2 linked regions of the Caenorhabditis elegans genome follow. The protein of the gene in region 1 interacts with the protein of each later gene in a pairwise test. Each region holds a gene or a part of one and is shown on either strand. Other genes may lie near its edges.

Region 1 (3,755 bases):
TTCGAAAGGTCCTGGCACGACTAACCCTTTATTACCTCTCCTACCCGAAAATACGGTACCTGGTCTCGGAACGGCACATTTTTGTTAGATGCGAGTAGATGTGCGCCTTTAAAGAGTAATACAGTTTTCCTCGTGATTTGACAAAATGTATATATTTTTTGTTGTTACATTTGAATTGTAAAAATATAAATAAATATTTTTTTTTAATTGTAAAAAAACTTAAAAATCGATGAAAGCTTGAAAGCTGCGCTGAAACGAAAGTTTTAAATTACAGTACTCTTTAAAGGAGCACACCTCTCGCATTCAACAAAAAAATGTGTGTCGAGACCGTGTACCGTATTTTTGGCATAAAACTTCGCGCCTGGCCAATATGTATATTATTTCTCAATGCGAATTGTCTTAACTTTAAAAAAATACTTTTCAGAATTTTTTAAGTGTCTGCTTTCTTCAAATTTGTCGATGCTGAGAATCAAAATTTTAAAATTACTGAATACTTTATAAATAGGAACTTTCGATGAAAATAAAAATAAGATCAGTCAGTTACAGGAACCCATTGATCCTGTTCCTTTTCTGAAAACTTATAAAATACTGACACACAACGCTATAATTTATATGGCACATTAAAAACACGATACTAAAAACTTAAAGTAGATCACAGGGCAAAACGAAAAAAAAAAAAATTTTATTTTTGTGCCTGACGAATTCGATCCCTGAGCCGTGTAAGTTGTTCCAATGAGAAGTCTTTGAACAAATCTTCCAACTGTTCAACTCGAACCCTTTCCTTTTCTTCCATCATTTTCATTGTCGCGTCGTGAAGCTTTCGTTGCCGATTTCGTTCGGCAATCAGCTCTTTTTGCATTTCTTCGTTTCGTTTTTTTACATTTTCGTACGATTGGAGAGAAGCGGCCTGTAAAGTTCATATTTTGTAGTTGAAAGTTTATCTAATCTCTCCACTTACACATAACTTGCTGATTTTGCTAAATTTCAAAAATTCATCAGGCAAATTGGAATCCGCATCATCAGCGAGATATTCGTCCTCTCTCAACTCCAAAACACTCTTCACGGCCATTTGTTGGGATTTCAGAATTGCGACGCTCGAACTACAAATTTGGAAAATAAAAATATAAATTTAAAAGAAAGAACTTACTCAAGCCGGCTCAATTGGCTCTTCAACTGCTCCACGGCATTGTCAAGGTGATCGCGTCGAGCATGAAGGGACTGAATATCATACTCCAAAAGTCCACTGGCATTTTTCACTGAAAACGAATGGTTAATATATATATATATATATAATATTAATTCTTTCGCCAGTTAAACTTACACCACTCGCCCTCTTTCTGTTGAAGACGAAGCACGTCGGTTAGAATTGTGTTAGCATTGACAATACGCCGATATTCTGAATATTTTACTTTTTTAAATAAATATAAATATTGATTTCTGAGGGCAAGAAATTATAAACCTGTGCGGAACTTGGATTTCGGATCGATTCCAGCACTCCCAACGGGGCATAATCCTTGTGCCTGCAGCTCATCGCGGAAATTTCTGATTCGGTTTTCAATGTCCATTCCGTCAATTTTCCACTGAAAATAGATTGATTTTTGATAAATATTAATGAAGAGTATTTTTTAAATTGACTTGATTAATCAATCATGATTAACAATTGCGATGAAAGCATATATAATTGGAATTTTTATCTACATATTTAATACCACAAACCTCTTTCGGAAAATTGGGAGACGTTTCGAAGTTTACTGATGATTCGTTTGGAGAATCGAATACTAATTTTCTTTTTGCTGCCGCCATTTCTGAAATATTTTTTTACATGAAACAAAAGGATTACATTTAAAATTAACCCAAAATTAACTTAAAAATTAAATTTTCAAGCACGCCGTGGTTACGGTGGATTTTTGTACGCAACAAGTGTTTGCACCAATTGCATTAGATTTGACGACGAACATTTTTTGTTTGTTTTTCTTTGGCTTTGAAAGTTTATTTCAAACCTAGAATATGGCAAAACTGAATTTTCTAAACTCTCCATAACAAATTATTTTAAATACTCAGTGTATTCTTCGCACTCTTCTTATAAATTTTTGTGTTTGTTGCAATGCAATTTATCTGAAAATTAAAACCAAAAAAAAACAGTTTGAATAATATTCCCTTATTTATCTTGAAATTACAGTTAAAACCAAATTAAGGGGGAGCACAGAGGCAAGAAGGCACATCTCGGTATAGAACATTAGAAAAATTGAGCCTTTGCGGGGAAGATTTCTGAAAAATTCCAGTCAAAAATGGGAATTATACACTAGAACTTTACAGAAATCATTTAAAAAAAATTAATTTCTATCACAGATACAACAACTGAGAAAACTAGATTTTTGCGAGAAAATTGAGAAGGCCACCAAATGAGAAAATGGAATACCCAAAAAAAACAATCAATCGATAATTTCAGAGACTTTGGATTCATGGGAAAAGCAGAGATTGTGGACGGGTGAGAGAGAGAGACAGAGAGACGTAGAGAAGAAAAGTAAGAAACCTGTTAAAAGAACGAAGAAATCGAAGGGGAGAGAGAGAAAAGGGGAAAGAGAAATAGAAACTCTGACGTGGTTAACAATTTTTGGGTGACAATGAAAATACACAGTAATATTATAAATTCGTCAAAACCTGAAAGCCGAGCCCAATGAGAGCAAGGCATTGTTTCGACGAATGAATAATAAGCAATACAATTCGACAAATAATATATAAATTTCGATCCAAATGGATCATTTTTGAGTTGAAGATCAGGTTCGACTCAACACTGGATTATCTCCGTGATCGGTAGCTACAAGCTTAGATTATGATAGTGATAAGAGGTTTTTTGTGAACTCATAAGAATTTCCATAACTTCTTAAACTTATCAATGATGCAGTTTCTAGTACCGAGTGCTGGCCAAGTTTGGTTTTGGGCTTTTTGAGTGGAAAACATGATTAAATTATTTTCAGATACAAATTTTTTGAATTTAAAATTCGAAAGTTTGCCACTCAGAAAACTCAAAAAACATTGAAAAAAAATAACTGAGAAAAATAAGATTGGTTTTATAAAATGATGGACTTGATGAAGTTGAAGATGAAGACGTAGAGATCAGCGTCTGCTAGAAGAAGATTCGGGCGATTTTCGGTTTGAAGTGGTTGGGTGGGGGTGGGATTTGATCCGGAGATCGAGCACGAGTTTTCCGATGCAAAATTTCAAAAATTTTCTTGCAGATTGGAAAAAGATCTAATAGTGTGGTCACTGTGTGTGTAATTGATGTCGACTTCTAGGCTTCATCCACCCAATTTAATGTTTAGAGGCCGTTGTACGCTTTGGGCTTCACGGTGTTTTGTTGAAGAATCTCGATGATCTGCGCTTTCTGTTCGTCCGACAGCTCCGTCTTGGGGAATTCAACATCAAAAGTGACGACAAGCATACCCTTCTTGTTGTTATCTTCAAGGGATGGCATTCCTTCGTCCTTCTTACGAAGACGGGCCCCTGGCCAGGTTACCTGGAAAAATCAAGTTCAATTATAACGGTAAAGGGAATTAATTTTAGAAAAAGAATATCTATAACTTTTGGCTTTTTGAAAACAGAAAACGTGAATGTTGTGTTCAACCATATGTGTTCACTGTGGTCATTTCATCACCACCCTTATGTTTGCCACGTCATTCTCGTGATCAGCTGTTTGAACACTTTCGAACATTGTACCCCCTTTAAGTTAAACAATTCTTTTAGTGAAGCAAAAC
Region 2 (3,755 bases), on another chromosome or scaffold:
GGTAAAAACATTATTTTTCAAAATATCGGAAAACATTTTAATACCCAAAAAACTAGAATTGAAAAATCTTGTTTTTGCTAAAGAATTTCAATCATTTTCCGTAGCTTTTCGATAAAAAACGTATATTTTATTTAAGGTTAAAATTACATTACTCTTTAAAGGTTCACACATTTTAAAATTTAACAAAAAATTGATGTGTCGAGACTTTGGACTGTATTTTTGACCCAAAAATTACAAAACTTTTGTTTCCGAGTAATATCACCACTTATTCAATAAATTTATGAAATATAAGCCATTATCAGTTAAATTTCAGGCCTGAACATCAATGATGTCCTTGTGGAAGATGAAGGTGGATCTATCGAAAAATCAATTGCCAAATACGTGGCTGATAGCAAACGAAAAGCCCGATTGACGAAGAGACCGGAACGGATTCGCCTCGGAATTGTAACACAATAAAATGAAATCAATTACAAAATTGCAATTCCAAATTAATTTCAGATGCGCCACGTCATGATTGTCATCGATTGCTCACGATTCATGACGAGCAAGGCAATGCCTCCATCGAGATTTGTAGTTGTTATGAAGGTTAGAAAAACGATTTATTTGACATGTATTTGAATGTTTCCAGGCTCTACAAACCTTCCTGGACAGATTCTTCGAGCAAAATCCAATTGCTCAGATTGGATTGATCACTTGTAAAGATCGTAAAGCAGATCGGTTGACAATGATGACAGGTTAGACTCAATATTCGAGATTTTCAATTTTTTTTTCAACGGATTTCAGGAAATATTCGTGTGCTAAAAGAATCGCTGAACACACTAACTGAAGCTTTCTGTGGTGGCGATTTTTCTCTTCAAAACGCTCTTCAATTAGCTTGTGCCAACCTGAAGTAAGTTAAAAATCGTTTTCAGAATATAAAATATTGATTTTTAGAGGAATGCCGGGTCATGTATCACGAGAAGTTGTTCTCGTTATATCAGCACTTTCAACAATTGATCCTGGAAATATTTACAGCACTATTGAGGTTATTTGACTAAAAAAGTAGATTTTTCTAATCTGTAACATTTTCAAGACAATGAAGCGAATGAATATTCGTTGTTCTGCTATTGGACTGTCTGCTGAAATGTTCGTTTGCAAGGAAATGGCTAAAGCAACGAAAGGTGATTTTTATTTTATTCTTTAAAATAAACTTTTCCAAAATAATGATTTACAGGAGAATATTCCGTAGCTCTTGACCCTGACCATCTGCAACTTTTATTCTCAAAGCATACACTCCCACCGTCCTCAGCAAAATCGAGTGAATGCAACGCAATTCATGTTGGATTTCCACACCACGAGCTGATTACAACAAGATCGTTTTGTGTTTGGTGAGGTTTTTTTAAATGAACTTCTTTTAAAGCTAATTTTTGCTAATTCAGTCATCCTGACACGAAGCCAATCTCATCTCGTGGATTCATTTGTACACAGTGCGGAGCACGTCACTGCTCGATTCCAGCTGAATGCCCGGTTTGCAAACTTACACTTGTCGCAGCTCCACAGCTTGCTCGAGCGTTTCGACATCTTCAGCCGCTGTCAGCTTTTGAGCAAATTGAAGTGACACGAGGGTACGTCAGATTTAAGAAAAAAATATATAAGACAATTAAGATATTCAGATTCTGCTACGCATGTGAAACTCGTCTATCTGGTGAAGGTTTTCGCTGTGGTAGTTGCCAGCTTGTGTTTTGTCTCGATTGTGATACTCTTCTTCACGAGTCTCTACACGTATGCCCCGGATGCAACTGATATCTCTTTTTTTAAATTACTCACGTTCTCTCACTTTTCGGACGGGTTTTATTTCATCTTTTTTATAAAAATTCTAAAATAAATCGATCGGCTCCGTAAATCTACATTTCAAGGTGCGTGCCCATCTTCCAGTCGTGGGTCTCGAAACGAAAATTGAACAAGCGGGTATTCGGGCGCCAATTACACTGTTAAAATTAATTTTTATCTTAAATACATAGCTTTCTTCGTTGTTTTTTTGCTTCATTTGGTCAATTTTTGTACAATTTAGATGAACACACCGGTAAAAGCAAAACGGCAAAGGCAGCAAATGCCAGGAACTCCGATACCCATGGGTCGGCAAACGCACAGGGCACATTCCGCCTCTGGTATGTTTTATCAATAAAAGATTTAGCGGAATCTCTAATTCTTTATATTTCAGGTTTCTACACTCCTCACGTCTCAAAATTGAAGACAAACTATGACAGAGAGTTTCAAAAGTTTCTTCGATCTGCCAAAACCGCAATCGATCACTTGGATAGTGAGTTTGAATTTTTTCTGAAATTTTCAATTTATACTTTTGTTTTTCAGAGATTGAAATGCAAATACTTTGCCCGCTGAAAAAGAAGATAAAACGTTTTCACAAGGAATCCAACACTCTCGATGTCTACTTCAGGTCACAAACATATTGGAGATCCTTCTACAAAGAGCTTATGAACCGCAGCGATGATGTCATGGATTGCTTTCGATTCGAGGATCTCCGTGACGTTGCTGCAGTTGTTGAGAGTCATCGATTGCCGGATGTGTTGGTTTCATTTGTCACGCAGCAGTTGATGGAATGGAGAGAATTGTTCAAAGACGTCGAGTGGTAAGCTGTTGTTGATAACGAATATAAATATAATTACTAAATGTTGCAGGATGCGAAAGTTTCGTGAATTGAGCCACAATATGGATTCTTTGAAAACGAAAAGAATTGAGCATGTGCTGCGACAAGACATCATCAGGGAGATTGGTGTAGCCATCGGTAATTTATTTGATTATTTCGACTCGTTATTAATAGTTTTTTTTTTCAGATGTGCACAATCTGAAAATCGATGATTTCAGAAGTCACAGCAATAACACGGAACGGGTCGCGGAAGGAATTGCTCATGCCATTGAAGAGTCCAAGAATAAACAAGATGCTGGGAATCAGTTGAAGCATGTTCCTGTGTTATCCAAGCAGATGAGTGTTCGACGATGGTATCGAGAACACTATGGTGGTTGGTATTAAATTATTCAATTCAATTGACAACAATCGAATCTTAATTTCAGACCCGCAAGCTTTGTCAGATGAATCAGATGAAGAATCCTTGTCTGATGGTGACAATTCGTCTCTTTTTGTTGGCACGGCAGATTCAAGCAGTCGTGACGCTAGTGACATATCGACGGAAGAAGTGGTCACCGAAAACGAATTCGACGAATTCTTCAATTAGTAATTCAACTGTGAATAGTATTAGAATCTCCGGCAGATCTACAATTCATTCGTATTTTAAGCTGTATTTGTTTATTCCCTTTCAAACTGCGATAACGCATGTTTTCATTTTCTATGCACATCATGTTCCATATCAAAATCTGTTTTTTAATCGATTTGATTTCAATAAACTTTTAATATTTTTTCCACTGATTATAACCATTGAGCTGTTTCATAGCTAATAAAGATTATCTATGAATTGAAAATCGGTTTATTACGGTTGGCTTTCTCGAAACTTTAATGATAAATTACTGAGAAGAAGGAAACACTTTGGGTGCTTGATATATGAGTGAGAATAGTTAGTCGTTTAGAAATCACTCCAATTTTCCTGGCATGGCGCCTTTGTGCTCGTAAGTTGCTCGTGCTTGTTTTCTGGCTCCTGGAAGTCTTTTTTCTTCTGTGCACGAATTAGAGAACGTCTGCGAGCCCGCAATATTTTAGGTGGAGTGTCCTGTAAAAAAAACATTATATGAACTTTCTCCAACTC

Evidence for each region. Proteins that work in one complex are often made in the same cells at the same time.
Region 2: the proteins of hal-3 (region 1) and hal-2 interact in a two-hybrid assay, tested with the Caenorhabditis elegans proteins (one study listed by BioGRID).

What each region holds. Positions count from the first base shown.
Region 1 is NC_003280.10:9,615,321-9,619,075, forward strand, and holds hal-3 (uncharacterized protein), read right to left. Parts: upstream 1,806-3,755; 5' UTR 1,804-1,805; coding exon 1,717-1,803; intron 1,581-1,716; coding exon 1,460-1,580; intron 1,397-1,459; coding exon 1,322-1,396; intron 1,257-1,321; coding exon 1,148-1,256; intron 1,101-1,147; coding exon 959-1,100; intron 908-958; coding exon 683-907; 3' UTR 480-682; downstream 1-479. Other genes in the region: DnaJ homolog dnj-20, read right to left, coding at 3,320-3,517.
Region 2 is NC_003281.10:10,086,881-10,090,635, reverse strand, and holds hal-2 (Coiled-coil domain-containing protein), read left to right. Parts: upstream 1-1,782; 5' UTR 1,783-1,895; intron 1,896-2,050; coding exon 2,051-2,147; intron 2,148-2,200; coding exon 2,201-2,299; intron 2,300-2,349; coding exon 2,350-2,626; intron 2,627-2,675; coding exon 2,676-2,782; intron 2,783-2,831; coding exon 2,832-3,017; intron 3,018-3,069; coding exon 3,070-3,230; 3' UTR 3,231-3,448; downstream 3,449-3,755. Other genes in the region: gtf-2H2C (General transcription factor IIH subunit 2), read left to right, coding at 314-444, 499-585, 629-734, 784-889, 934-1,024, 1,073-1,160, 1,214-1,367, 1,419-1,604 and 1 more; T16H12.2 (uncharacterized protein), read right to left, coding at 3,576-3,719.